Linked DNA regions of Alligator mississippiensis. The protein of the gene in region 4 interacts with the protein of the main gene of each other region in a biochemical or structural test. Links are inferred from orthologs where the notes say so. Each region holds a gene or a part of one and is shown on either strand. Other genes may lie near its edges.

Evidence for each region.
Region 1: the proteins of HTR2C (region 4) and APBA1 form a complex in vitro, tested with the Homo sapiens proteins (2 studies listed by BioGRID and IntAct, with this or other methods). The link is inferred for Alligator mississippiensis from reciprocal best matches to the Homo sapiens genes HTR2C and APBA1.
Region 2: the proteins of HTR2C (region 4) and DLG1 interact in a test that uses a peptide from one of them, tested with the Homo sapiens proteins (2 studies listed by IntAct, with this or other methods). The link is inferred for Alligator mississippiensis from reciprocal best matches to the Homo sapiens genes HTR2C and DLG1.
Region 3: the proteins of HTR2C (region 4) and LIN7C form a complex in vitro, tested with the Homo sapiens proteins (2 studies listed by BioGRID and IntAct, with this or other methods). The link is inferred for Alligator mississippiensis from reciprocal best matches to the Homo sapiens genes HTR2C and LIN7C.

The regions. Positions count from the first base shown.
Region 1 is NC_081826.1:193,884,669-193,892,310, forward strand, and holds the start of APBA1 (amyloid-beta A4 precursor protein-binding family A member 1), read right to left. Parts: upstream 3,663-7,642; 5' UTR 3,466-3,662; intron 1-3,465. UniProt on the Homo sapiens protein: Putative function in synaptic vesicle exocytosis by binding to Munc18-1, an essential component of the synaptic vesicle exocytotic machinery. May modulate processing of the amyloid-beta precursor protein (APP) and hence formation of APP-beta.
Region 2 is NC_081830.1:89,480,325-89,488,031, forward strand, and holds the start of DLG1 (disks large homolog 1), read left to right. Parts: upstream 1-4,518; 5' UTR 4,519-4,651; coding exon 4,652-4,670; intron 4,671-4,800; coding exon 4,801-4,932; intron 4,933-7,707. UniProt on the Homo sapiens protein: Essential multidomain scaffolding protein required for normal development. Recruits channels, receptors and signaling molecules to discrete plasma membrane domains in polarized cells.
Region 3 is NC_081825.1:209,179,672-209,187,189, reverse strand, and holds the start of LIN7C (protein lin-7 homolog C), read right to left. Parts: upstream 3,125-7,518; 5' UTR 3,087-3,124; coding exon 3,050-3,086; intron 1-3,049. UniProt on the Homo sapiens protein: Plays a role in establishing and maintaining the asymmetric distribution of channels and receptors at the plasma membrane of polarized cells.
Region 4 is NC_081831.1:82,763,442-82,771,457, forward strand, and holds the start of HTR2C (5-hydroxytryptamine receptor 2C), read right to left. Parts: upstream 3,317-8,016; 5' UTR 2,651-3,316; intron 1-2,650. UniProt on the Homo sapiens protein: G-protein coupled receptor for 5-hydroxytryptamine (serotonin).

The DNA.
Region 1 (7,642 bases), on a different chromosome or scaffold from region 4:
TGCCTTCTTCCTGACTTCAGACTAACTACCACACTTTGATTTTATCTGTCATAATGCTTTCTTAAAGACCCACATGGACTAAAACAGTGAAACTGTCTATACTCAAAATGCTATACACAAACGCACCTAGTAAATGAACAGGAAAGAACAGGTAGTGAGTGCAGAGATTTTTTTTCCCCTCTCATCTCTAGCAATTCTAGAATGCTTAGTTAGGTCTTATCTTTAAAACTGTCAGATAAAAGCATTTTGAAACACAGCAAAATTTTCAAGCTGCCAGCTTTTCTTTAGGTCAAAATCTTGTTTAAAATGTATTGCATTGTTAGAGGTATACATTATTTTAGGCTATACAACAACATACAAGAGGTGGTGTTAGAAAATTATAGATCCCATTACTTGTCCCATTAAAGACAATGGGTCCTAATTTAACAGTATGTAGAGAAAAAATAGGTTCCCGGTTACTGCTATGTTCACTCAGTTCTCACACATTTTAAACTGAGGAAATGAAGTATAAGCCTTTCTTAACTGAAGGTGTTACACAATCTTTCATAGTAACACAAAGCAAACAAGACCTTTACGTTTACAGTTTTATACCCCAAAACTGTATCCACCTAACTGCATGTAACTGAATATATCAGTCTCAGGAGAATGAACTGAACCTGCCAGAATTTTCTTCTTTGGTTCCATGGAGGCTAGGGATTTCCAACACGACAGCATGTCCATTATACCATTACATTTTGTGATGCTATTGAATGTGATGACAGCTTCCAAGCTATTACACATCGGAGTGTGTGTGCACATGTGCAAGGAACGTTTTTAGAAGCAGATCTCTCCCAGTGCCTCCTGAAAGGTGAGGAATGACAAAACCTAGATAGATATTTGAAAAAAAAAAATGTCACTAATATAATAAACAATACTTTGAAGTTAAGTAATTGTGAAACTGAAAAAGGATGCCTGGAAAGCATTTCTGCTTTCTCCACAGACCTTGCCCCCTCAAGAGAACAGCTCTTTCCTAGCTAACTAGGGCCTTCTAATAAAATGTACTTCTGTTGGCATCTTTCACTTTATAACCAAAGGGTCAATCTATGAATATCTCTTCTTTAATAGGCTTCTAAAAGGCTGGCCTTTGCATCTGATAGAACACAGAATAATAGTCTGAAAACATTACTGCTATTTTAAGCAAAGACAACGCATTAGTGCAAAACAAATGCATTGCTGCAAGCTACAAGAGAAAAGGACAATAACTTAGTCCAGTGAATTATAGTTTTTGTGCTGTACCCCAAGCCTTGTCTGCCCATCATTTAATGAATCTGTTCAAATGTAAAGCTTATATCCACTTTTTAATCCACACTATTTCCAATTGTTAACCATTTTTCCAATCTAAACAAGTCAGATATTCTCTCTTTCAACTAAGCTTTCTATACATTTTATATTGTATAATTAGAAATGCATCAAAACTTCTCAAAGTGCAGGAAAAATGATCAATTTACCACAATTTACAACTACCTATGTCAGTGCATTACAATTTACTGGACACTCAACTTTTCAGCATATACATTCCAACAATATCACCAGCTGATAGCGGTGCTTTAAAAACTGGTAACTGCTTGCTCACTCTTAATTGGCAAGGAAGAGCTTTTAAAAGGAGAAAACTAACTAGTCTGTATTTTAGATGACAGTTCCAAAAAAGCCAACACATGAACACAGATTTAAGATTTAAATGTTTCCATTTATGTAAATCTACCCCTAAATCTTGCATAATTACTCAAAGCACAATTTGTCACAACTTTGGATCATAACTAAAGAGTATAGAAACCAAAAATAAAAGCTGTGCTTTGCACTGTCTGGTTTGCAGATGTCTATGATGCAACAGTAGAAAAAAAAGAAAAGAAAATTAAAATGATAAGTAGACTTTGGACACTAGAAGTTTCTAAAATGACTGATAGATTTAAAGGTACAACTGACCTCACCCCTAAATATTTCTAAATCCCTCCACTGCAATAGCGACAAAGATATTCCACCTTTATTTTCCAAACAACAAAGGTGACGATGTGTTGCGTATTTGTTTCTGGAGGTATGGCAGCCACAGGCTGCAAAGACAGGGGCAGCCAGTTCAGATTTTGACAGCAATGCAGTAGAATTTAAAGTACTGTGACTGGAATATTTTCCAGAACAGGTTGGTTGGGACCCTCTGATCCATGCTAACAAAGAGGTATCAAAACACTGATTGTAGGATGGGCTCCTGGCACCTGGCATAAGGTAAATGTACAGTGCAGATAGAAATCCACACCATATGCCTGATTTGCCCCATGTTAGCTCATCCTTAATGCCTGCAGTCAGAAAAACATCCGCGCCTTCTAGTCCCACTGCTTTAGTTCCTGGGCAGCTATGACAACAGCCAGAGATCTATGGCACACCTTGTGAAGTGAGCCATAATCCTTCAGCGCCATAAAGCCACAAGGAAGCAAAACGACGAAACATCACGCTTCCAAAGACACAGGCCTCCATCCTGGCCTCTCTCTCCCATGCAGATTTCCACACAGGCTGACAGAAAAACAAGCCTTGGGGAACTGCGCCCCACAAGACCGAGCTCTGGGAAAAGTGAAACACAGAGGGCTGCAGTAACTGAATGGAAGGGCCCCACAGCGCTGTGCAGATGTGGCTGGGGTGGGGGGTAGGGAAGAATAGCAGTTCCTAAATCTGCTGGCAGACAGTGACAGCAGCAGCCGCTGGTCCCTCTCCCAGCGCAGGGGTGGAGAGCAGAGGGGGGAAGTGCAGGGAGGCAGCAAGGCGGATGGAGGAGGGCTCCCTGGCACCTCTTTGCAAACCCCGACTGCCTCGGCCTTTTGGCAAGGATCAAGTGAAACTGGGGGCGGGGACACACGAACCCCAAGGCCTCCAGGCCTAGGGCTTGCACATAAGATTGCCTGCCTGGGTCTGGGGAGTCCCCGAAGCCCAGAGGGATGGTTTGGGAGGGGGTAGAGCCACACGCAGACTTGCCGATCGAGCTCTGCCCAGGTGAATTTGGGAACTTGACTCTCGGGCTCTGCCCAATTGGATCTGGAAACGATGTGGCCTTGAACAACATAAAAAAAAAAAACCATCCAGGGGGGACGGGCAGCCCAAGCTGTAGGAAGAGATGCCCTCCTCCCAGCCCGCTCCTGTCAGGCCAGCACCACGTGCTCCCTGCGGCAGCCCCAACCCCCACATGGCAGGACCCGGCGCCGGTGCCGGTGCGGAGCAGGGCGAGGATGGGGCGAGCCTGGCTCGGTCTCTTGCGTTGCAGCGCAGGAGGCGGCCGCCCATCCGCCTCCCCTCCCCCGCTGCCCAAGCCTGGCCGCTGCTTCCCCCGCCGCAGCATCCCCGGCAGGCGCAGCCCTAGCCGGGGGCGGATGCAATCCCGCCCGCTTCCTCCTCCGGCCCCGCACGCACCGCGGTGCAGCCACCCCCGGCTGTCCTGCTCCTCACCGGGTTGGCGGGCCGCTTCAGCAGGCCGCGGTGGGGCAGGGCGGCTGCAGGCGGGAGCCGCGAGCCTGGGCACACGCCGGCACTTCGGCGGCGGCTGCTGCTGCTGCTGCCTCCAGCGCCGGCCCCAGCTCCACCATCTTCCTCCTGCCGCTGCTCGGGCTCCGCAGCCGCCGGCGGAGCCCGTCCCCGCGCCGCCCCCGCCTCTCGCTGCCGCCCCGCCCCGCGCCCGCCCGCGTCACCCGCCGGGGCCGCCCCGCGCGGCGCTGCACGAGGGGCGAGGGCCGAGCCCTGCGCCTCCGCCGCCCCGGTGCCCGCAGCCAGGCTGCCCGAGGAGAGGGTGTCCCCGTGCAGCCGGGCCCCTCGGCCTCCCTCCCACAACCGCCAGCCCCCTCGGCAGGGGCGAGGCCGTGTTCACCCCCCGCTTGGTCCCCACTTTCCCCTCTGCCCAGCTGCACAATAGGGATGCCACTGAGGAGAGCTGACACACGGCTGGGGGTTTTACGCCTCATGTTTCGCTGGCTTTGAGGAAGAGCTGACAAGGGCACCAGGTCTGCCCTCCCCGTTTTCCTGGCATGAAGGAAGCGCTGACACGAGGGCACAGGTTTTACCTTTCACGTTTTCGTGGCACTGAAGAGGAGCTGACGCAAGGACCTGGGTTTTACCCTCCCTGTTTTCCTGGCATTAAGGAAGAGCTGACACAAGGGCGGGGGTTCTACCCTTCATGTTTTTGTGGCATTGAGGAAGAGCTGACACAAGGGCACAGGTTTTCGCTTTCATGTTTTCATGGCAGAGGGAAAGCTGACAGGGGTTTTACTGTTCCTGTTTTCATGGCATTGAGGAAGTGCTGACACAAGGGTGGGGGTTTTACTCTTCATGTTTTCATGGAGACAAGGGAGAGCTAACACAGGCAGGGGTTTTACTCATGTTTTACATTTGGGGAGCAAAACCTATCTGTACAGCTACTGCTGGGTGTGTTGGCCAGCATCATGAAATACATGCAGCCTGCAGTGACTTAGAAGGTCAGGTAGGAGATATCTGTATTTCTGTTTACCTGATTCTCATAACCATGCTCCAAATTGTGTTGATCAGTTCAAGTGTGGTTTCCCAGACGTATAGAAGGGCAGAACACAGCATCAGATCATCCTGTTAGTCCTTCTCCATGTCATAAACCAGCCGGCTTCACTCAAACACCCAAAATGAAATCTGCAGTGTAAACGATACTAAATAGTCCAGTGCACACAAAACCTATAAGGTGTGCCACAAGCAGAGTACAGGAATGACCAAAGTGCCACTCCCTGAAGTCCTGCACTAACAAGTAACTGATTAGATGAGACATGCTCAGAGGTTCCCAGTAGAGAAAGATGAGGACCATACCAACCTGACCTCAAGAGAACAGAAACTCCCTCTCAACCTGAACCTAGTACAGGCAGTCCTTGAATTACAATGTTTCGCATCACAACATTTCACACTTACATTTATAAATTGACACCTGTTTCAACTTTCTGACATCAGTTTTGACTTTACAATGCTTGATCCTCTGCATCCCCCATCTCCCTGGAGAACATCTGTCCAAACTTCCTTGGACACTTTCTTTAAGAAAGCAGACAAGGCTCCAGAATAACCTGCAGCCAAGACTCCTGAGAAGACTCCAGCCAAGAACCCTTCAAAAAGTCCAACCGAGAGCCCTTCAAGAAGTTCAGCTAAGTCACCTCAAGGAAGTCCTTCCAAATCAATATGATTGCTATTTACAACATAAATACATTAATGTAGCTATATTACTCATCTATAATTGAGTACAAAATTATGGGTTATTTTTGGTGAAAGTAGGGTATCGGGCCTTGGTTCAGGAACCAATCCCCCATTCACAACATTGTTTCCTATGGGAAAATCAGTTCCAAGTTGCAATGTTTTGACTTAAGATGCAGTTTTCAGGACCCAATTGTGTCGTAAATCCAAGGATTGCTTGTAATCAGTATGATACACCTTATATGAACAAGACTTACGTCCCAGGACCCGAAAGGATTTTCTATACTGCTTCAGAGGACCAAGATACCCCATCCTATTTCCTATTGACACCTGTGGCCAATCTGATGCTTTAGAAGAAAGCAGGAAGGAAAAGAAAAAAAAAGCAATTATATTATGCATTATGCAAGAAAAAAATCCTTCTCGACTCCTGGAGGCAACTGCCTGAAGCAGGAGATTTTATTCAAGTACTTGTCTTAATGCAGAACTGCAATTGTTAAGAGCATGTTGAAACCAATGTAGACAAACCCAGTCATTCCAGGACCCATTAAAGAAGGTTATAAACAGGGAGATTGCTATCCACAACTTTCAGTGGCTGCTGAAGTGATCAACATCATTTTCCATCCTACTTAGGCCCATACACTCCACACAGACTGAAGAATTTATTCTAAAAGCCAAATTAGAGCATATCTTTCAAAATGATATATCCATCCACCCTATAGAAGCCAAGTGCTGGTGAGGCCACCATCTCTTCTAATGAGATATTCCAGTGTGTCATGACTCCCGTTCCCTGGAAGCTGTGTCTTATTTCAAAGTGGAATTTATCTGTTTTCAATTTCCATCCACAGGATCTTGTTACAGTCATGTCAGGATATCAGAAAAAGGCACCCCACTACCAAACATCTTTATGTTCAAGTATCCCTACATAGCAATCAAGTCACTTCTCAGTTTCTGTTCAATGAGCTGAATAAATTGAGCCACTTCAGACTCACACGACAAAGATTGCTTTTCAGTGCTTAGATCTCATGCTTGTGGCTCTCCTTTGAACTTCTTCCAGTATTTTTATCCCTTTCTAGCCATGTGAACACCAGATATAGGCACAGCATTCAAGCATTTGCACAGAGGCAAAATCACTTCCCTGCTCTTGGATAGTCTCCTTTTATAAATAAGCATTGGATTAGTCTGTTTTGCTATAGTTTTACACAAGGGAGGCACATGGAGGCATTTATCCCTAATGACCTCTAAGTCCCTCACTGAGTCACTGCTTTCTGAGACAGTCTTCCATCCTGTAAATTTACCCTGGATGCCAAATCCATTATCTTGTATTTAGCTGCATTAAAGTGCATGTTATTTGACTGTATTCATTTGACTGAATGAGTGCGTGGGGGGGGGGGGGGGGGCTTATATGTACATGTGTTGGGTTTTTTTCATGCCCAGGGAGGTCTCTAAGCCTCTAGTTATAAGATTATAATTGTTTTTATTTTACGAAAAAGATTTTAAAAGCTGATTGAATGATGGCATCCCCATCCCAAATCAGTGAGACTTGGAGGCTTAACAATACTTCCCTACCTCTCACAAATGCTGTGATAATTAAGCCATTTTAAGCATTACTAACCTGTACCTAGCTAGTAATGGAACAGTTGTTATTATACTATCCACCATATTAATTTAGAATCTAAAGGTATCAGCAGAAGAACTTCATTTGTCCTGAGGCTGATATCCTAAGACATAGATATCAACATGGAAGAATGTCACTGTTACATCTTAGTAGGGGAGAGCCTCTGACACATCTGAGCCCTTCTGATTCCATTCAGTAGAGCCCAGCTGTATCCCAGAGCCACAGTCCATTCACTACATCACTTTAGAAGTGCAAAGCATATCAAATATGTGCAGACTGCAAAAAAGCATGGTGGAAAGACTGATTTTGTAAAATCTCCTGCAAACAATCCTGCAGTGCTTTCTGCTTAGGCAGTGACTGCTCCAGGTTTTTCTTTCTCCCTTTGTTACAATGAGCACATTCGACCCCCCGCCCCACAATTTCATGTTTCCTTTGCTTGCTGTCTTTATTTCATGACCTAATGTACATGCTCTCTCTCTTCCTCCCTCCTGGGAATGTTGCCTACCTTCATAAACTCATGAGAAGAGAAAAACTCTTTCTGCAGAAGGGGCACAGGGCAGAGCAAAGAAAGATGTGCCTTTCTGTGGAATGCATCATCATCATCTGATTGTACATCCTACCACAAACTGGCAGGAGCACAGTGTGTATGTAAGACCCTGAAGCTATTGATCCTTGACAAAACTGTTGAATCTTGACAGGAAAATATAATTAAATGTGCTTTTCTGTTTTTTCCCCTGTCACACTTCCATTTCATATCATCTCTGCTCTTACATTAGAATAAATGGCCTGATAAAGCACCGGTTCCCTGTGAACCTG
Region 2 (7,707 bases), on a different chromosome or scaffold from region 4:
CTGGCCTCATTTGATTTTTTCCAGCACCACTCAGCAAGGGGAGAGTGCAGTGTCAGAGCTATGTATGAGACTCTTATCATTACTCATAGCATCAGGATCCAATGTAATAAGATTCTCTCATTAAAAAAAATCCTGCTCAGATTTGGGGATTCCATTTACAAAGAAATGAACTTGTTGCTTATGGTGGATTCTTTTGCACAATCACTGGAGAAGCACGTGGTGCATTTCTTTCCCTCTGCTCGGGCCACATTTTTGTCACTTAGCAAACCACCCTTACCTTGGCAGATCCTTTATAAATGCTAGTAATAATAGGCCTGCTTCCCTTCCTGCGTGCATGTTCCTCCCCCATGAAGAGGAGGAAAGCCCCCCTTAGGGTTCATTTTATTGCTGCTGGAAATGGGGATTGTGTTAGAACTAATGAGATCATATAACAGGGACTTCTACTGCTGTCTCCTCCCAGCAGGGATTTCTTTAAAAAGCTTGGACAAAGGATGTGTGAGCCATCACAACTCCAGTACCAAAGCTCTGCAGGCAAGAGTAGGAAAATCTGCCCAAAAGAGAATGAGAAATGCAGGTCAGTAAATGTAAACGTGTAACAGTAAATTCCTCCCTCGAGAGTGGTGGGCATGGCACTCCCCCAGGGTCTCTTGAGCATATATTGACATTTCGTAGAAAGAATTAGGATGTTGGCTGCTGTGGCTCCCGTTTTACTCGTGGCAGGTTTGGGTGTGAGGTCTGTGTCGTGTCAGGGTTGATGGTCATCTCGCGTGGAGTTGAGATTGACAGGTTTGCCTGGGTTGGTTTGGACAGGGCTGATCCTGCCTCAGACAGGGGGTTGGGCTAGATGTGACCTCCGGAGCTCCCTGCCGGCCCCACTGCTCAGCGGTTCTATGAAAGAATTTGTGCAGCTGTAGATTAAGTGGGTATTTTTATACAATGTTTTCATTACTACCTAGCACAGGGATCTGCAACCTGTGGGTTGGATCTGACCTGTAGAGCTGCCAGGGGGAAAAGCACCAGGACCAGATGCTGTTCAACACTGAGAAGTGTAAAGCGCTCCATCTGGGGAGGAAAAATCCGCAACAAACTTATAGGCTGAAACGGACCTGGGGGTCATCACTGACCATAAAATGAATATGAGCACCAGTGTGATGCTACAGTTAGCAGGGCAAACAATAGTCTGTCATGCATCAGCCGATGTATCTCAAACAAAACTGAGGAAGTTATTCTCCCGCTTTACTCGGCATTCACGATGCTGCAGCTGGAGTACTGCATCCAGTTCTGGGTGCCGCACTTCCGGAAGGATGTGGAGGAGTTGAGAGAGTCTAGAGAAGAGTCATTCGTATGATTAGAGGCCTGAAGAGCAAGCCATACGAGGCAAGGCTGACGGATATGGGACTGTTCAGCCTAGAAAAGAGAAAACTTCGGGGGGATTTGGTGGCAGCTTACAAATATATCAGGGGTGAGAATCAGGGGCTAGGTGAACAACTATTCACCAAAGCGCCCCAGGGGGAAACCAGGAGCAACGGTCATAAACTCCTAGAAGAAGGTTTAAGACTGGATCTAATGAAAAACTTCTTCACGGTTCGTGTGACCAGACTCTGGAATCGACTCCCAGCGGGGTGGTGGCACCTACCCTGGAAATCTTCAAAAGGAGCCTGGACGCACGCCTTGCTGGGGTTATTTGACCCCACCAGTCTTCCCTGCCGAGAGCAGGGGGGCTGGACCCAATGATCTCATGAGGTCCCTTCCAGCCCTAAACTTCTGTGATTCTGCGCCTCCTTCACTGTAGCTTCCATCCTTCAGAGGCCCAGGAAGTCCTAATTTGCAGGTTGTACCCCTATTACATTTGCTTCCCAGATTCTGCATTAATCTTGCTCAATCCCCTTTTGAACCCAGTCAAATTATTTGCCTCTACAACTTCTTGTGGCAACGAGTTCCACAAGTTAATTACCTGCGGTGTGAAAAATATCTTCCTTTCCTTTGTTTCGGAGCTACCTCCTGATGATTTCTTTGTATGTCCCATCACACTAGTATTGTAAGAGACAGCAAATCCCCATGTGCTTTCTCCACGCCTGTCATGTTTTTATAGGCAGAAAAACAGAACATAAGAACTGCCATTTACTGAGTCGACCACAGGGGTGGTGCTAGGGGTGCTTGGGGGCTACAGCCACCCCAAAGATTGCCTTAGCCCCCGTAGCCACCCTCCCAGTGCCATCGCCACCCGCAGCTGAGCCCTCCCGCCTGCCCCGTGCAGCTGCCTCGACCATAGGTCCATCTTGCCCCATCTCCTGTCACACGGGGCAGAGTGCAGATGTTGGAAGGGGGAGTGAACTGGGTCTGACCTGGGTTTTTCCTGTTGTTCCTCTCTCTTGCAGCCTCCAGCATTTAAGGTCTAGGAGGTTCTGATTGAGAGGCTGTACATCTGCCACAGTCTCCCCTGTCCCCTGGCTGTCTCTTCTATGAATCCTGCACATCATGCCGACCAGTACTGTCTCACGCATGGTGCTGCCCCATCTGCCTCTCTTCTCATCTCCTCCTGTTGGCTCTCTCTGGGGCAGGTCTGTCTTGCTCTGCGTGCGCAGCACCTACCACGATGAGGTCTCAGCCCATGACCGGGGCTCCCAGGAGCCACGATGAAAGTACAGTACCGCTATTCCTATGACTACAACAAGGAACTGCTGTTCGAAGGACAGAAAGCCAAATTCTGTCTGGCATTTAGAAATAGTCTGCAATGCAAACTAATATGACATCAAGGAATTGGATGCGGTATTGTTCAGTCATTTAGATTCCACATTCCCTTTTTTTCCCTTCTTCTCAGAATCAGCTTTCACAAAACCTAAGATTCTGTCATTTTCAATAAACTGACAAGGGTTTCCAAGAAAAAGTCACCATTTCCCACAATTGCAACAGAACTGTAGCTGAGACATCACAGACTTTCCCTGTGCTTGGGACAGCCGTGGCACCGTCGGGCAAATCCCTGAGGGTGCAGCGCAGGGTCCGAATTGCACTTTGACTCTGGGGGGGCGGTCTGCAAAAAAAATGGGGCTGCCCATCATGATGCCCTAATAAAACCAGAGGCACCCCCCCCCGGTTATGATTTTAAAATTTTACAGGGGGGCTGTCATGTCCTATGGCCCGGCTCAGCCCCACCGAGCTCCCCCATAAGTTGAGCACTGGTACAGTGGCATGGCTGCACCCCCCTTTGGGCATGGATCGCACTGTGGGGGACTTCCTAGAGCAGGTGAAAATCCTCCCTCCCTCCCCCTTCCTGCTCAAAGACACACCGCCTCCCCCTCTCCTGGCTTCCTTCCTTCCTGCCCTGCCCTGCTGTCCTGGGGACGGGAAGCGCTGGAGCCCTTCCTGGTCGGGGGGGGGGGGGGGAGAAAGAGCAGCAGGGATGGCCGGGGCTCCCCCTCCCTGCCTGGGCCGGCGTGGGGAACTGCTCCCCGGCTGCCCTGTTGCTGCCGGTCCCCTCCCCGCTGAGCCCAGCCCCGGCCCAGCCAGGCTGCCTCCAGCTCCCCCCCCCCCCACACAACACAACGGGGAGAAAGGGCGGCCGGTGGGGGTACAGGCAGGTCCGGGCTGGGGGAAGGGGAAGGGGGGGCTGACACGTGCTTGCTTTGGGCACTTCAGCCCCGGAGGCCCCTGCTAGGCGGGCTGGGCTGGGCTGCCTGCACTGGGGGGCTGGAGCAGGGGTGTGGCCCCCCGCCGTGGGGGTCTTGACCCGCACCCCCTGGGTGCACCCCGCCTGCGTGGAGAACAGGTCCCGTCCTGGAGGTCGGGCTGCCAGCGCCGTCTGCACCCGCCCCGGGGTGGCCCGTGCCGTGCCATGCCACGCCACGCCACACCAGCATGTCCACGATGTGGCGTGCCAACGACGCCCGTGCCAACGTGCCTGTGACACCCGTGCCAGCATGCCTGTGGCCGCAATGCCTGTGTCAATGTGCCTGTAACACCCATGCCAACGTGCCCGTGATGCCCGTGCCAACATGCCTGTGACACTCGTGCCAGCATGCCTGTGGCCGCGATGCCTGTGTCAATGTGCCTGTAACACCCATGCCAACGTGCCCGTGACGCCCGTGCCAACATGCCTGTGGCCGCAACGCCTGTGTCAATGTGCCTGTGACACCCATGCCAACGTGCCCGTGACGCCCGTGCCAACATGCCTGTGGCCGCGATGCCTGTGCCAATGTGCCAACGTGCCCGCGACGCCCGTGGCGGCGTGGCCGGGGCGGGTGCGGAGGCGGGGACCCGTCGCGGCCGGGGGCTGCCCGGCTCGTGGCGCTGCGGCGGCTGGCGGGGCGGGGCCTGCGGGGCGGGGCGGGGCCGGGCGGGGCGGGGCCGGGCGCACCTGAGGCGGGGCGGGGCGGGGCGGGGCGGGGGAGCGCTCACCTGGCCCCCGGGCCCGGCCCGGCCCCGCGCGGGGCGGCCGCTGATTGGGCGGCGCGGGCCGGTCACGTGGGGGCGCCGCGCGGCCCCGCCGCCATTTTGCCTGGAAACTTTGGAATTTCAAAGCGGCGCGAGCGGGAGGCGGCGGCGGCGGAGCCGGAGCGGCGGCGGCAGCACCGGGAGCGGGAGCGGCGCGGCCGCCACGAGTCCAGCCGGGGCCGCCCCCGCCCGCGCTCCCCGGGACGGGCGGGGCGGCACCATGCCCGTCCGGAAGCAAGGTGGGGGCGCGGCGGGAGCGGGCCCCTCACAGCCCGGGGCGGGGGCAGGGGGACACGGCGAGTTGGGCGGGCGGTGGCGGCCGGGCGGCCGGGCCCCCCCGCTGACCGCGCCGTGCCGTGCCGCCCGCAGACACCCGGCGCGCGCTGCGCCTGCTGGAGGAGTACCGCGCCAAGCTGAGCCACGCCGAGGACCGGCAGCTGCGGAGCTCGCTCGAGCGCGTCATCGGCATCTTCCAGAGCAGCCTCTTCCAGGCGCTCATCGGTGAGTGTCGGCCGGGCCGGGCGGGGAAGCCGCGAGCAGGGCCCGGCTGCGCCTCAGCCGGCGGCCGGGAGCGGGGAGGGGAGGGGAGGGGCGGCCGGGCGCGGCGCGGCGCGGCGGCGAGACGCGGCGCCAGGAAAGTTGCGGAGAGGCGGGCGGGCGGGCGGGCGCTGTCCCGGGCCGCGCGGCCCCCCTCGCCGCCCCCTACGAGTCCTCCGAGAGACACCGGAGCGGTCGGTGTTGGAGCTTCGTCCCCCGCTTCTCCCTTCTCCTCAGCCAAGTTCCTCGTGACCCTATTCTGGGGAGAAATAGGGAGAGAAAGTTTTTCTTGTTTTTTTTGTTTTTTATTACTTCTTATCTTTCCCAATAAAACATGAGAGGCGAAGGCCTGCGGGTGCGGCTGCGTAGACAAGAGCGCGTTCACCTCGCCGGCAGCAAGGAACCAAGTCCTGTCATTAATAAGTCATATTTAACTTGCCAGCATGGACGGGCAAAGCTCTTCTTAGAAGTGCCTTTGTCTCGGGGTTGTTCCTTGCCTTGAGCGCGCGGTGCCGCGGGTCGGGGGCACTCGTGTTCTGGCCCTGCCGCGCGGCCGGCCGGCCGACGGGTGTGGAGCCCGGAGCAGACCCGCGTGGCCCCAGCCCCCGCCGTCTCTGCCCGCCGGTCCAGCGCGCAGCCTGCCGCCCCCCAGACCGTCCTGTGGGCGCAGCAGCAGGGTGCCAGGGGCTGCTGCTCGCCCACGGGCTGCTCTATAGGTCCCGGTTGATATTGGGACTTAGTGCTTGTTTTAGGCTGTGCTGTGTCAAACAATCAAGTTCTTTCAACTCTTCTCCTGTAACCTTGTCTGGCATTCTCCTACGCTTCGGTCTCCATAAAAAAGGTTATGATACAGTGACTGTTTTCGCTGTCGACTTCCGAAATGGAAGTCCTGCATTAATACCACTTTAAACTTGTGAACTTAAACATCCCTCATCTGGCTCGCGAAGGAGAAGTCAGTCTCATGAAGAAAGGCTTGGCTGACTTTGAGGGATGGGCGTACGAGCCCTCTGTGGTGGATCAAACTAGTGAAGTTTTATATTAGTCACACTTGGTGTTGTGCAAGAGTTTGTGGTTTTTTCTCACCCCTTTTTGCGCTCCCTTGCCATATTATTTTTGTTGGAACTTACTATAATGGCTCATGGATTTTCCTCTTAGAAATTCCTAGAAGTTTATTCTTTATTCCTTCCTTCTAGAAAACAAGGAGGAAACCTGTTCCAGCTTCTTCCCCTAAATGTCCATAATGACGCTTCATCAGGCTAAAGGAGCTCGTCTTTTCTATGGCATTAGCCTTTGATACTGTGATCTCTTCTGCTCTAATACTGTCTGTAATATTATATAAGCTATCTCTATCAACAATACAGGAATTCATGAAACACCAAGCCAGTGCTTATGTTGCAGTATATACTATATAAAAGAAAAGGAATATGTGCTGGCAGGATGTAGAAACAAGGATCTGTTTTTGCAGATAGCACCGATGTGAGGGACTGTAGCAGTTTGACATCCTGGCTCTCGTTGTTGCTTTAAGGTGAACTACTTTTACAGAAGTTTTAGAGCTCTTTGCCTTGCTCGAACAGGTTAAAGCTGCATGGCATGCAAACTGAGTTCAAGAGGAGTATTGTGTCTTAACCCTGTAAGACTTATTTTCTAATGAAAGAGGAAAAACATCTGTGTTTTGATTACGCTTATATGCAACCCTTTCTAGAGAAGGCTCAGGGTGGCTTACAGCAACTACATAATGTATAAAAACAGAATAAAACATTGGAATGCAGTATAATGAAACTAGGGGTTCACAGATAATGATTTTCTTGGTTGATACCAATAGCCAATTATTAACCAACCATATTGGCTGATGCCGATCTGATAACTGATATTTAGTAATAATGCAAGGCATTTTGAAGTACTGACAGAAATAAACCTTGGTTTTGTTTGTTTTGTTGTTCTCTGGCACACTCCAGCCTCCTGCGTCACATGCATCAGCATCCCTGTGCTTAAAACTGGCAGCGGGGTGCTTGAACTGAAGCTCATGGAATGAGCTTTAGTTCAAGTGCTGCCGCCACCATTTTTAAGTGCGGGGACGCTTGAGCTGAGCAGAGTGAAGGCGGATGTGGGCTGCTCTCTGTGGGCTCAGGGCGCTCTGCCCCAGGAGCTCCATGCTGGCCCCATGCCCCCTGCCCACCCAGCAGTGGGGCACACAACTCGCTGCCCCCACTGCTGCCAGACAGGCAGGCAATGCGGGGCCGGTGTGGGGCTCCTGTGGGAAAGGCAGCAGAGCAGAGAACCTTGAGCCCATGTCTAGGCACAAGTCTGGGGGGGCACATGCCCTACCTCCCCAAGGGGGTGCATGCAGTGGTGGGGAGTTACTGTCTCCCCCACGCCCCTCTGGATGAGCCACCTGTGGCTCTGACCTGCTCACAGGCCCAACCCCAGGTCCTGTGCACCACCCTGGCTGGGTAGCAGGGACCACAGTGGGAGGCAGGGAAAAGGGCACCAAGTGGAGTAGTTGTTAGTCAGGCAACAGAAATAAAGCAGCAAGTTGGGCAGGGAGCAGAGAGCCATATTGAGAAGGGGGTTGAAGTGGCACATGGGGCTTAAGTTGTGGCACACCTGCTAAAAAGTTTGGCTCCCCACTGGGCTGTTTTATTCAACACACTTGCGAGCCTGAACATATTCTGGCAGGAGGTTTAGGAGGAGCAGAATAACCTTCAGGTTTCCCAACTTGAAAGTTTGACTTCAAATGCT
Region 3 (7,518 bases), on a different chromosome or scaffold from region 4:
CTACTCTATTCTGAAGCCAGACTACTAGCATAGAGCTGGAGCCAGGGACATGTAGTGGTGTGGATGCAAACTAGACTATAAGCAGCAACCTCCTGGGTCTATGCCACTGCCTGGCTAGAGCTCTGTACCACTGCATGTCCCTGGGTCCTTTCCATACATACCCCTAGCTCCACACTACTTGAACATGTCTGTGTGCTATTGCACAGCCTCAGCTCTGCATTGCCACACGTCCCTGGCTCCTTGCAGGTGCATATCCCCAGCTCCACTCTGCCCGACCATGGCTTTGTGCCACTGTACACCCTCAGCTCTGTGCTGCCATGTGACCCCTGGCACTGCTGACTGGTCAGACTGCTGCCCAAACGTAGCTCTATGCAATGACATGCTCCTAGAACCATGCCACTGCCCCATGGAGTGGAGATCTGGCTGGAAAGTGGCACAAAGCTAGGGGCATGCGACTGCATGGAGCTGAATTCAGGCAGCAGGACAGAGCTTGGAAACTGTCGCCAAAAGTCATGTCCGTTGGGGTCCAGGGAACCTGAATTCTGCTACACTGTACTTCTAGTAGTCCGCTGGACTACTAAGTGGGCCAGATGGAATGTTTCCATGCACCAGATCCACCCTGTGGGCTATATATTTGACACCCTTGATGTAGAATATTTTCATGGCTCATTTTGTATGATGCCTTAATTCAACATGTGGCTGGGAACCGGGCTAAACCAAAGGAACTTTAAACCCTGTACCAAGCAGCTCTGGCAAGGCAGGCCAGCACCAGGCACTGAGGCTCCCCTTCTCCCGGCTGGGGACTTTAAACCCTGCATGGAACAACACTAGCTCGTTGGGTCTGGAGACTGTGCCATGGTCTAGAATCAGCCCCAATGCAGTCCCTGCCAAACTGACAATCAACTGATTTTTGGGCATCTTGCCTTCAAGCTGCCAATGCAGGCAGACCCCAGGGTCAGGATCCTGAGCTTCCCCTGCACTGGCAAATATGGAAGCACGGTGCAATTGGGATCTGATGGCCAATTCCAAAATGACACATCCAGCCATGCGCCTGCATGCATGCGTGTTGGTGGGGCAGTGTGAGGGGGTCAAGGGGATGAATCAGATTGTGCCTTTAAATGAACCGTCAGAGGCCTTAGAAACCTTGAAAGTGATGTCAGTTTCCGGGCTGACAGTACAACGGCACAGGAAGTACTATGTACTTAATGAGCATTGACTGCACTTAACCAAATTTAAACCAGATTAGCTTATCATCTTTTTTCAGTACCAAAGCTACGGACTTAAAGAATGAATACTGCATTAGGAAAAACTTCCTAACTCTGAAGAGGTGTTAAGCACTGAAGTATACTACCTAGAAGGGAAGTGTAATCAAATCAATAGTGCAGGTCAGAAACATTCATCTAAGATGGCTTAGGCAAGGAAGATTTTGCCTTGAGCAAGGTGTTGGACAAAATGCCTTCTGGGGTCCCTCCCAATCCAAGTTTAGTATTCCATGATTCTTTTATATTTGTCCTCCAATTTGTAACGTACTCCTATTGCTAGTACAGACATGCTTTTTAAACAGAACTGTCCATCTCTCCCTACGTTATATGCCAATTCTCTGTGATGTTTGCTCCTTTGACCTGATAATGAAATATCATAAACTTATCTAAAGTCAACAATATCACAACAGAAATTACTTCTGAAAAATAGCATTCTTCTTCACTAAGTCTACTCTATTCTGTACTCTTTTCCACATTCTTAAGATGAACCAACATGGAACTATTTAAGCTCCAACAAAGGAGCGTAAATAGCTCCTTTGTTCCAGAGTTCATAAATAACTCTGCAGAGATTTGTTTGTTTTCATGGACAGAGCACAGTGGCAGGGTAATGAGGGGAGCAAGATGCTGCCTGAGGTTTTACACAGCAAACCCACTGAGAACAGCTAATCCACTGCCAAAGCAACTGCTCTAATTAACAAGCTTTGGGGGAGGGGGGCAGCAGAGCTGTGGAATCAGCAGCAACAAGGATCTATTTACAAAGCTTCTCGCTCACCCTACAAGCAGCTTGTTTGCGAAATGGGAAGGTAGATGAAGGAAATGGGGAGGGGAACCATCAAACAGTCTCAAGAATAGAATTCTGAAGCTGGTAATACGCGGAGATTGAACAAGAGAAATCTCCACTTACAGCCAGACACAAGCTAAAATGGTACATTCCCCACCCCATACCCACTACCAAAGCGCAAGAAGAAAGGCAACTCTTGGGGGTTTTCAAAACCTGGCTGGACAGGGCTTTGGTTGGTATGTTCTAGTTGGGGTTGGTCCTGCTTTGAGCATGGGGTTGGACTAGGTGACTCCTGAGGTCCCTTCCAACTCTCTTTTCCTATGATCCCACAAAGAGCTGGCCATACACCCCCCTCACTAATCATCTGTTGCTCCTTTCAAGAGCCCGACTAGGTGTTTTCACCACCCAAAACAAATCCTCTTTGGTCTCCACTCCCACTGAGAAGTCACTCTTCACACCAGCCACATTTGCTGCCTATGTGCACATGCGCTTGGAAAATTAAGACGTGGTTTGGATGCTCTATATTGCGCCTGCACGTAATTCTCCAGTGGTTTGCACCTACACTTCACTGGGCAGCAAAAATAACACCGCCCTGAACATCACAACCCAAGTGGGCACTGTATATTACAAGCAAGCCCTGCCACACGCCCCAGTTCAAGCCATGAAGAAACCGGCTCTCAAGTCGTTACACATTTTCCACCACTAACTGTAGAGCTGGTTGCCTCTTTTTCAAGTAGGTAATTTTTATAGCGGGGGACCTCCTCTACTCGATGGGCCGGCCTAAAACGAGGGCGGGAACCACCCGTTCTTGGCGGGCCGACTGCTCTGCCCGGGCTACACTGCGCAATGCACGTAAGGTGTGGCAGGTATCCGAGGTGACACTCGGCGGGGGGGACCCTGCGGCGAGGCGTCCCCCGGCCGCGCGAGGGGGGGGTGTGCGGAAAGGGGAGTGCGTAGCTCCTCCCCTCCCCCGCGCCTTCCAAAGGCCGTTCCCAGCCGCCCTCACCTCGCTCCAGCCGCACGGGCTCACCCAGCGCCGCCATCTTCCCTCCGTCTCGCGCCCCCCGGAAGTGACGCAGCGCCTCGGGAAAGGCCGCGAGAGCTGAAGGGAAGGAGAAAGAGCGCGGGAGTTCGAGCCGGCCGAACTGTCCCCATCGCGCATGTGTGAGCACTTGCCCCGCCCGACCATGTGTTCGGAGGCGGAGGGCGCGCAGCCTTCGGGTTCATAGCCTGGCGCGGGAAGGGCCGACGGTAGCCAATGAGAAGCGCGGAATGGGTGGTCACGTGTCCGCCCCTCCCACCCCACCTTGCGCTGCGTACACCGCTGTGGCCGATTGCGGGATTTCTCGCCGCTGCTGGCCTTGCCACCGTTGCGTACGGCGCCGTTGCAGTGCCCTGCCCACCTCTGGAAGCACACATCGTTCACGATATTATATATATATATATATATATATATATATACACACACACACACACATATACATATATGTATACACACACACACCCCTTCTACCGTATAGATTAACCAGAGTACATACATGCAGACACAGACATACATATACACACATGCGCACATTATATGTATACAGGCAATGCTTGCTCAGTGCTGTTCTGCTTAGTGCTATTTCGCTATAATGCTCGTTAACATTGACACCGATTCCGCTTAGCGCTCAGCAAGTTCCAGGATAGGGCTCGCGGTCACCATCTTGGTTCGTCAAAATCTTTTCTTGGTTTTCCTTAACACTGTTCCACTTACCACTTGATTTTTTGGGGACCAATTAAGAATGCTAAGTGGGGGTTGCCTGTGTATACATACACACATACACACACAGATATATGTATGTATATGCATGTGTAGTACAAGCTTTCATGAGGTGAGGTTCAGCTCACAAAAACTTGTGCCCTCTATTGATCTACTTTTGTTAGTCTATAATAGTCAACTTTCTTTAGACCCCAGGCACCCCTCTGCCAGCTCCAGGCACCCCTGAGTAGACTTGGAAAATGCCAGCTCTTAATTTCTCCTTTTTTTTTTTGGACTATAGAAAAATCTGGAGCAATTCTGTTGCAAACAGTAAGCTCGGTAAGACCACAACAGGCATGAATGACGCGTGCCCCCAGAAGGTAACCATCTGCAGGCAGTGGTGCTGGTGTCGGGGGCATGGTGGCAGGGAGCGGGGAGCTCCTGCAAGTGGCCACGGCAGTGTGGGCAGCGAGGGGAGGGGTGGTGAGCGCCCAGTGGCAGCTACCCAGAGATGCCGCTGGCAGTTTCACCAGTAGCCAGCAGCCATTGGCGATCGCCTGCAGACCCCGCTGGCAGTGTCAACGGTGAGGGAGGGGACAGGGGTGGCAAGCAGCGACCGCCCACAGGCGCTGACAGCAGCGTCAACGGCGCTTCTCTTGGGGTGCACCGCCAATCTCAGGGGTGCAAGTGCACTCGCATGCATCCCTACATGTCACCAATGACAACAGGGAAGAATGTTTTTGACACTGGAGATTCCTCTCTGTGATCTCTGGGCTCATCACTTGAATCACGTTTGTACACCTCACAGTCCTAATATTGTGTGGCCCCACAGAAAGGATCTCAAGGCACCCTAGGGTGCCAGGACACCCTGGTTGAGAATCACTGGTCTATAAGGTGCAAATGTACCTTGCCTTCTATTTAATCTGCCCTCTTGCCAGCAAGAGGCTTATCCTGCATGCATTTCAGCACAACAGGAACGTGAATGGAAACGTTTTGAGTTTCACAAGTGAACACAGTCAAATCCTTACAGCTTTCACGTAACAAAACAAAAGAAAAATTAAAGCTTTAGTAGCCGACACTGCTTAAGCCAATGAATATATTTGGGGAAAAAAATGTGTGCGCATATTTCACAATGCCCCAGAAATTGCCAAGCAGTGACCCCCATTTTGAGGAACCAACAGCTGATATTTGGATTGATGTAACACAGAAGGTTTTCTTAAACATCTCTAAAACCACAGATCAATACCTCAGACGTGGGAAGAGAAATAAATGCCTTTAATTTACATTTTTAATACCTATTGGAAAATCAAACATTAAACATTGGGTCTCAAATGCTACGAGAGATTCACGTCAGAAAACTGCAGTTGTAGCCTACGTCTACCACCCTGTATTGAGCAAAGTAACTACATTCAGTTTTATCTAAAATGCCATGTTATTAATCTACAAAACCTGAAAATAATTCTGTGTGGAATTTCTAATAGCCAGTATGTCCATGGCTATTGGAAAACAGACTTTTGCTTCCAGGAAAATACAAGGATCTTTAGGTACCCTACACATGACCCATAGGGGGAAAAAGATGTGACCCTTGTTGGGTTTTTAATGGTATGTGAAGTAGTTTGGAAAAGACTGCTCTTTGTTTTCTAATATAATTTACTTATTTTTCTCTTTTTTTTACCTTAGGATTTCAGTTCTTTTACAAAAACAAGAAGTCTGTGAATGACTGGAAAACTGGTGGAGCACTGATCTCACAACAGAAAGATACGAAATTTAAGTGATTATTTAAATCTTTCCAAACTTGGTTTTCATAACACATCAAAGAAAGGAAATCTTTGGTACATCTGTCTTTGGTAAACCTTTGTGCAATTTCAAAGAAAAGGCATGAAGGCTCATTGTCCTCTGTTATAATGTTTTCCAGAAGATGAGGAAGTGCCAGACTTGAGGTCCCTGATATTTATAAAGTAACACCACAAAGAAGAAAAATGTAATTTTAGAGCTGATAAGAAGGTGATTTCTTTGAAGGTCGCTTTTTAGCATTTTGCTATATTTTTGCACAAGGTCAGTGTTTTTACTGTGTCCTACAACTTAGAGTAATTGTGTAGTAATTTCTAATAGTAATATGTACAGCAGAAATAATTCAGTATGTTTTCTATCTTGAGAGCTGAGGAAGGGCAGTTCATGTCTGAAATCTTGCCTAACTGCAAAAAAAAATAAAAATAAAAAAAAATAAAAAAAAAATAAAACCAACCAAAAACCCCCCCAAAAAACCCTTTTGTACCATAAATTTCCTAGACAGTCATGGCTACAATTAGATTTTGTGAGAAACTAATGAAAATATTTGTTCCACAGAGTGAATCAATTTTATAGCTTATAAACATGACATATCTATCATAAGCATAAGAGTCAGTTTAGCTACTGAGTTTGTAGTCTGGCACACTGGGGAATATGGAAAGCATGAGACTTATGGCTTCAGAATTTAGGAGCCAGAAGGTGCGTGTGTCATTCTGCCTGCCACCTTGTGGAGGCTGTTAAAGCACTACCCTGGGAAAAGATTGAAGAAAAATCAAATTAAATAAAATCAAATGAAGAAAAGCAGGTGAAAATCTACAGAGTGACATGATTTAGTAGGATTGTTAATGAGAGGCATTGCAGCAGATTGGATTTTTGAGATGATCTCTTGTTTTTCTATCAGGCACACTTGCACTTACGTACATCTGCCATGGATATTTTTTTTTCTAAAGCTTCCTACAGTATAGGTTCAAATATATGCCAGTTTTCCCCTCACTTCCATCTCTAAAAATCGCTAGAGTTTCTACAGCTAGTTCTTTTGGAATTATTCCTTTGCTGAGAAAGGAAAGACATTTTCTTAAACCAGGGCATTTTTTTTACTCACAGTATGTAGTTAGAATTGCTTAGCTACATTTGAAATGTAGTTACCATGTCAGAAACCATTTGGCCTGATTATTAGAAATACTGAGCTATCTTGAATCCTGTTGAAATCAATAGGAGCTGTAGAAACTTGGTACCTGTGATAAGTGTTTTAATTAGTGTATTAACACCAAGTGCATGTAAGAAACAGAACTAATAGAAGGAGGTTGTGAGTTTTTTTTAAGAATGGGGACCACAAAGTATGTAGAGAACCATGTACAATTATCTTGATTACACATAAAAATAAGACAGGCTGTACAAGTAGCTAATAAGGCGCTACATTAAAATCAATGTGCGCCTACAGATGATGTCACTGCATATATGTTATGATAATCCATGATCAGGATGGCAATGTAAATTAACTTGGTGCTTTACATATACATAAGAGTGCTAATGTTGCTGGTCCCCAAAGGTTTACAATGTAAATTACAAGTATTAACTCCTTTAGTGCAGGCATGAGACCTGTCTTTTTATAAATGTATTGTAGAAAGTATATTTGCTGGCAATTTAAAACTAGTTTTAATTCCTGACATGTCCATAGCTGTTAAAATAAGCACCAAAAGTATCTACAATTGGCCAAAGCATAGAAACGTATCATGTGAACAAAGATGAACAATAATGGTTGAATTGCTGGGAATATTACAAAAGATACAATACATTGGATGAGACATTTTCTGCTTGGAACTAGATGAGCACAGTTTTTGGTGAACAGTAGCAAATTCAAAATTAGCAGAGATAAGCAGAAACAATAATTTGTTATCCTTCAGCCTCATGAATCATCTTGCAGACTGCTACTGATACATTGTCAC
Region 4 (8,016 bases):
CTCCAACCAGGGCACACCAGCCCTCACAGACAGCCTCGTGGAGACAACACAGTGCTTTTGAAGCCTGGGCCTCCCACCTCGCGTTTGCCATTTTGCTGCCGGGAATATGACTGTATTTTGCAAAATGCTCCTTGGCCCAGAGCAGACCTGTAATGACCGCTGTTGGTCCACAGCTGGGGACCTCACATGAGCCTTGCAGATCCGAATGCTCACTTCAGATGCCTCTGGTGTGTCACTGAAGACATGGGAAACCATGAGGTGCTTCGGTGGGCGATATGCATGGAAAGAGATGGTACATGATGAAAAGTGCTGTCAGAGAGAAGGAAGCAATGGGGTTAACAGAACAGGATCTGTTCCAACACAAGGCCTTACAAGCTCACCCAAGCCAGCTCCTGCTCCTCTGAGATACAAGGACAATGAAGTACAAGCGACTTTCTAGCTCCTACCTTTTTAGGCACTGCACATGCTGCACATTCAAAGGACGTAGCAATGACTCTTCCCACCAGGGCAAGACTACAGACAGAAAATGTCCGCATTCTGCATTACTGCAGGTGGGGAAACTCTCCTAGAGGACTGAGCGAGGGGGAAACAGCACGGTGTCAGGGAGATCAGATGAGTGCGCGAGTAGAGGCACGATAGACTTGAGAACGGTCGATACACAGCAGGCATCAGCAGCTCTCGCAAAGAAATTAAATCCCATCATAGTTTGTCAGGATTCCTGCATGGCTGTGCCGCAGGCTGCCTCTTTACACTGGGCTACACAGGTACCGCGGGGCCAGCCCCTACTCCCGCTGAAGTGGATGGCTGCGCCCTCGCGCGCGCAGGTCCCTCAGACCGCGTGCTGGCTAGTCGTGCCGAGTCGGGATCTTACGGCAGCCACCAGCAGCGGAGCTGTACCAAAGAGTGAACAAGAAACAGATGAGCTGAAAGAGCCGAGAAATGTTGAGAAGAGAAGTCACAGACGTAACCAAAACCTTTGCCAAGTTACAGCAATAAGAGGCAGCAAAGAGAAGCCCAAACTTGGCTCCCGACAACCACAGACCACTTTGTGGTTAGTCCTGGACTGCGACGAAGGGTGATGCAAGCAGCTGAAACGCCGACATCTTGGCCCAACAGCTCTCAGCAGTTTTCATTTCTAAAAGCAACAGCGTGCACGGATGCACGCGCTCCAGTGTCCCTGTGTGTCTCGAGTCCAAAGCACCTGCGTGGAGAGAAGACCGAAGTTTCACGGTGCAGCAACTGACCCCCTGGGACACGAAGCTGAATAAAGGCTTGGCAGGGGTGGAGGAGCCTTCGAGAGGCTGGCCACCTTGGCACAGGGAACAGGGAACTGCCGCTGAATCTCCTGTAGATTTGACTTCACAAAATAAAAGCTTCGTGACCTCTTATTCAGCCTTGCTTTGTTGGCCTATAACTTTGCGTTATCACAGCCGCGCTCTCCGGCACCGCATTTCAACCCGCACCCGCCCACCCCAACAAAACCCCAGTAACTTGTTTCTAGGTCTGTTCAAGGGCTGTAGGAGCGGAGCCTGCTCCCAAACACCCGTCCCCAGCCCTCGGTCTCAAATACAACTGTGCTTCCTTTTGAGGAGAAAAGCCAAAGCCTCTTTCTTCTTGGTCCTAATTACTACCTATGCGCTACGCTGCTTTCTTCCACTCTTTGAAATCTGCATGCCTGCTTGCAAGGCTGCATGTACCCAGACGTCTTCTCTCCCATCACAGCTGTAACGCCTCACCAGTACCAGATCAATAGGTATTCAAATAACACGCTAGTCTCACAAAGTGAAAAGTACTAGTGCCTTCTCCTTGCTTATTATTATTATTATTCATTCAACCCAACCATCATGCAGGGGAAAACCTTTCCTCTACCATTTATCAAAGTCACTTTTCACCCAAGCTAACTCGGGTGCCAGAAGCAGGCCGGCGCAGGCCCAGCGGGTTACAGAGCGTCGTGCTGCTGCCACCGGGTAACAGTGGGCACAGGGTGGACGTCCCCGGAAGCCCCGAGCGACGAGCAAATGTGCCATGCACTTTTTTGGAAGAGAAAATAAGACAGATGCTTCTGTCACAACCGCAGGGAAAAGGTAGGCAGTGGCTTTCCCACTAAAGCAGAACTGCTCTGAAATTCAAAGCTGAGAAACCCAACAAAACTCAACCGCTCGCACTCAGCCCAGCAGGGTCTCAAGCGCCTGCGGAGAACACGTCACCCCCAGGCACCTCCACGCCCGCTCCAAAGGCCCCCGCCAGAAGGAGGAAGGCACAGTCCAGGGGGATGCAACACTGCCCAGTGGGGGTCAGAAGGACCCGGCTCCTAAAACGTGGCCACCTCCACTGCTTGCCCCCCGCCCGCCCGACCGCAGCATGTCTTGGGGAGGGTGCCCTGGTGCCAGCACCCACTCGCAGCTCGGCACAGACAGCTGCACCCCGCTGAAAGCTGCCGAAGCCACGGCCCCACAGACCGGATCTGGCCTGCGGACCGTAGGCGGCCGACCCCTGCACTAGCCAGCAATTTCACGGGTGACCTGTTGGGAAGGGGTAAGCAGCTCTTCACATGAGGGTGGAAGCAGAGACACATACACGGACCTTGCTCGCGAGTCTAACGCACACAGCAGCGCGGGAGAAGCAGGTGTAGATGCAAATATGTCCTTACCTCCCAGCCGTGTGTGGTCCTGCTGTTAAACCAGGCCTTCCTCTCGCCCAGCCAGACCTTCCTGCGTGGCCTTGCACGTCGTCTCCTGTGCTCCTTCTGCGAGCCCTTTCACCCCCTGCCGCTTTGTCATCTCTCCGTCCCCTCGTCCTCTTTGGGGACTTCCCCCTTCCCCCTCCCTGCAAGCAGGGATGAGAAAAATGGTTCCCCAGTCCACTGGCCCAGCGCTTTCCACCGGAATAAGGCTTGAACGACTGACCGTTGTTGCAGGTCTCGGGGAGGAAACCTGGAGCCCTCGGCAGCAAGTGGCAGAGTCCACATCCACCCAGAGGACGGACCCTGCGGTAGAGAGACGGCCAGAAATACCGCACAGTGCCAGCTGGCTTCCATGACTTGTCCGCAGACCACCGCTCTGCAGACCCTTCCCTCTCACAGACATGGGTCAGAGCGGCACAGACCTGGAGAGAAAGAGGGAATGGCACAGCCTGGGAGGAGGGACCCGCTTCAGCTTGGCCCTGATGGGAGGCATGAGGACTTCACATGTTTCCTCTTCCTGGACATCATATCGATGCAACTGGCCTGGGGAGATGAGCATTCGTATTGTCCAATACTATCAAGGATCAAAGCTTCTGTTCACTGGAGCTTTTCCTTTTTGTTCAGCCCACGTGATAACCTGTAAGAAGAAAAGAAAAGAAAACCAATGGCAGCTGTGGGGAAGGCATTAAACGACTTGCAGCATAAGAGCTCCAGAAGAAACCAAAACAAAGGTCTTAATAACTTTTTGCAAGGCTTTTAATTTATCTTACCTCCAGCTCTGGCACCCCCAAGCACTAAACGTTCGACCCCCAAGACAGAATAAGCATCTGCCCAGCAACAAACATCTCCCCGCCACGGCCACATGTGCAGGCTAACGAGGCGAGGCCCCAGTAAGCCGCAATGCTAATCATATCCTGATCACCACCAGGCTGCACTCACCCAATCAGTAGCCACAATAAAAGTATTTGGTCCCTAGCAGAAATCAGGAGCATGTTAGAAAGTATGTGCTGCCAGAAAAGGGGTTATTCAAGCATTTTACATACTACTGCAGAGGCCATAAAAAGCCTTCTCTCAGAAACAGGTCGTGCCCCCGAGCCACTACGGTTCCACGACTCGTATTATAACAACGGCCCGTCTTCCAGGAGTGCTGAAAAGCCCCATTGAAGATACTTATTTGCATGTCTATGTATGGATTTGGGAACTCAACTGTATGTAACGTTGATTTTTTTTTAATGTTAGTTGAATCCTTCGCCCACTAAAATCAGAAATAAGAATTTAAGAACACCCCAAAATATCCCTGAACGTACCAGACGCACACTCATTCCACTTTGACAGCCTTTATTATGCAAATGATCTTCACCGGCGTTTTGCATGCTCACTTGTGACATACTCATTGTTCAAACACTTAACAGAGGAATTTATGGCCCTGGAGGAATAAATACATCACCAAACAGTAACCACCATCAAACTCTTTACAGTGCTTGTGTCACCTCCCCCTTGACAAGCCAAAACATTTTCCACCTGAATAATTACTGAGCTTAATGGGCTGATTTAATTTCAATGGTAGTTTTGAAGTTGGAAAAGTGCACGGAGGTGGAAGGTTATGCACAGCCTCTCAACAATTTCTCAACTGAAGAGACCTGAAATCTGTCCAAATGGTTTGGCACTGCTCTGCATCCCTTTCCTACCCCAGCAATGCGACTCCCAGCCCTCCCGAGCCAATGCCAACTTGCATCAGCAGCTCTCTCCAAGATAATAACAGCTAGATTTATGTGTATTGCAACAGTACGGAGGAGTCTTAGTCACGGACCAGGATCCACAGTGCCAGGAGGTGCACAAGCACACAACAAAGGATGTCGCTACCCCAAAGAGCCTACCGGGTACATACAGTAGATGGATAAAAGACAACAGATGGGCATGGAAACGCAAGGAGATGACAAAGAGCAGCGTAACGGGCCGGAGTCCTGGCCCACTCGTCAAGTCTTGCGGAGGCTTCGCAGCAAAGGAGAGTCGTGAGCGTGAACCTGAAGGAGAAGGGTGAAGCGGACATCTCCCAAGCACAGGGGGAGCTTGGAGAAACCACCAAGATGCTTGTTGGAAATCTCCCAAGTGGCCAATGGATGCCGGCACCCCGTGCTACGTGGGGCCAGAGCGTGGTGACCGAAGACGCAAACAGGGCCACCAACGGTGCGGAGACTAACGCACAGGTATTGTACTGTGAAGGAGGAAAGACAGAGCTGAAGAGAAGGGTAAGGGAGGCGTTACATTTGCTGGCGGAGCCATGTCACCGCCAGCGTGCATCCAGGAAGAGCACACACCAACTGCTGAAGCTTCCTTAGCCTGACGAAGCGTTTTTGAACCCGAAAGCTTGCTTAATAACTATTCTCCAACCATTTAGGTTGGTCTAATAAAAGATGTCAAATTCACCCAAGGAACCTCGTCTGCCGGGAGATAAATGCACTTATGGACGCAAGCGCCAACGAGAGCAGAGACTTCCCTTCTGCCCAAAGGGCCCTGGAGAACAAGGCCACTTTCCGCACTCCAGGCTGTAGCACTTGCCCAGCTGCGGTCCCACCAGTAATTGCCCCGGGCCCCTGAGCTGTTTCAGCTTTAGCATCATGTTAAAATGTGCTTATTAAGAAATAATACTACTCTGCTGACATCACACGAGAGCATTCGTGACACACGTGCCCTTTTGATGTACACGATAGCCGTGTGGTCCTGCTCCAGGAGCCCAGACGTAGAGTTTATCACAAATGCATCAATGGTGCAATAAAAGCGACAGTAAATGAACTGGGAAGCATAGTGGCAGCTGTTAAATTGAAGCATTGCAGGGGAACAAACGTGGTTAAAAATGAATATTCCCTCCCAGTCCCCGGGTCTATCCAGTCTCTCAATGGAGCTATCCGGTCTCTTTAACGGATGTTTGTCCCTGCATAGGAGATGCGTTCACTGGTCAAAGCACTCTTCCTCTCCCTAGATGACATTTATGTGAATTAATCATGAGTTGTTTTTTCTAAATCTTCAACGGACGTACTGCAGAAGAGGACAAAGGGATTAGGGCTGTTTAGCACTGTGTCTTGGCAGACCCCTCTGTTTTTAGAAGCAAACACGATGTGACAAACGTGGGTTCAAAATGTTGCCGAGCTTAAAAAATACCTATCTTCCTTCCTCACTGCTTCAGGTTTCTCTTCAGGAGAGCAGGAGTCAACCGGGGAACATTATTACAGCAATATCCTGAGAGCAGCTTTCATATGGAAAGCTAGAGCAGAGCTGCCATCCTCTGCGTTTGATGAACGACACATTGAAGTTTTCAGAGCACCTCAAAGCTGGCCTTGGCTCAGCCGTTCAGTTGAACACCGCTAATTCACATCATTCTGAGCTGAACTCAACCGTGCCTTCCCAATCCAGCATGCATAACATCTGCCAACAGCAGCGAAAAGGAGATTTCAATGAATGCGGCTTCATGAAAATTATAGTGAAAAACAAAAAAATCAGCTTAAATGTAAGCTGCTTCCAGAAAAATATTGTTTAATTAAACGGGATCTAACGTTTTAATTCTTTTTTGGTGCTTTATTTTTTTACCACTAGTTACACCCAACTTGGACTCCCTGAAAAAGCATCTTGACTCTGTAAAGCGGATTCCAAAACTTAACGGGTTTTGTGAAAAAACTTCAGTTCGTTTCTATGGTAATGGAGAGCATCCTCATGGTCTGATCGCGATTACAGCTTCTGAAACCAAAGCGAAGGCATGCCTCCCCACCCGGCTCTACAGCTATTATCACAGGGAGACAGAGGATTAGCATTACTGGTATTCCCCCAAGTGAATACATTCCTGTTGAAGACCGGAGAGGTGGTTTATTCACCAGCGGTGAACACGGCACTGGCACTCCAGCGACGGGGGACAGCCTTTATGTGACCTGCGTGTCATGCTCCCTTCCCCGTCGCAAGGACTTGAGAGCATCGACAAACAGCTTTCCTGGGCGAGAACATGCTCCTCCTGCCTGCATGCACTGGCTGCCAGCCCAGGACCCAGAGCCGCTGTGCCGAGACATGGCCTACCCTTATTGCACTACATGCTGTGCCCCGATGCTTTTGCATCTGGGTACCAGGCCCGTATGTCCCCAGTGAGCACGAGGGACCCGATAAGGCGACAGCCCAAGGAGAGGCGGATGTGTGAGCTGAGGGCTGAAACCAGAATACAAAGCGATGGAAGGAGCATTTACTTCTCTAGTAGCTAGCATGTACCAGGCACACTGGGTATTTCTCTCTCTCTCAACTGCTGTCCGGTAATTTAATTGCACCTTCTGAGTCCTTTATATCCCACTAACCTTGATATGTAAGGGCTGTGTGTTTCTGGAGAGGATGGATATCGAAACATACTGGAATGGGGGCAAATTTATTTTTGGAATGAAAACTCATACTGGTTTTTATGTACATATCTACTATATGATGACATAGAGCTGAAATGATAAACCTCACCTCCCTATAAAGTCAAGATACACCTTAAAAACAGATCCCTATTCCCTATTTCGGGGACATGAATTCACTACCCACTTGCACATATAATGATACCTTAGAGAATCAAAGCAGCAGCTCGATGAGATCAGCGACACCATAATCCCCTCGTTTCATATCAAAAGCACAGTATGAGAGAAATAGCACATATGGAAATACAGACCTTGTTTCAATTTTTAAAAGTTGATTTCACAAATCTTGATAGAGCAAAATTACTTTCAAACCTAGAAGGTTTAGGAGTCCAGAAGAAAAGCTGTTTGATTTACAGAACAGGTCCAAAGTAGCAAGGTTACTGTAAACTGTCTTAATCGCAAGAAAACTGACATTTATCATAAGTTGTTTAAGCTTATTTTTGACTCATCCTGATGGGTACAATTGATTATAACAAGACTCCTGGCAAATGAGCTATTTTAAAATATTTTTTTACATTGAACTTTTCCATAAACTGAAGAGACAGTCATGTCGAGAGCGCTTCCCAAAAGTTTCCAGACTGAGCAACTGTCTCCAAATCTCCGGCCCTTCAGTGCAATGATTTCACCGCAACGGTCCAACGCCGGGATGCTGCAATGAGACGCTAAATGCCGGCACCCCCCGGCAGTGGCTTCTGGCACGGCTGGTTCTGAAGCGGGACGGGGGAAAAGCGAGCGCTCCCGCGATGCGCGACAGCTGAGCTCAGCAAGAAGATCGCAGAGAAGAGCAGGGCGTGAGCCAACCAAACTAAAGCTACCAGGAAGCACTGTGATGGCATCAAGTTTAATTTTCAATTCTCAGCCAAAAACCCCAGGTTTTGATTTTGCAAAGTCAGCATTTTCTAT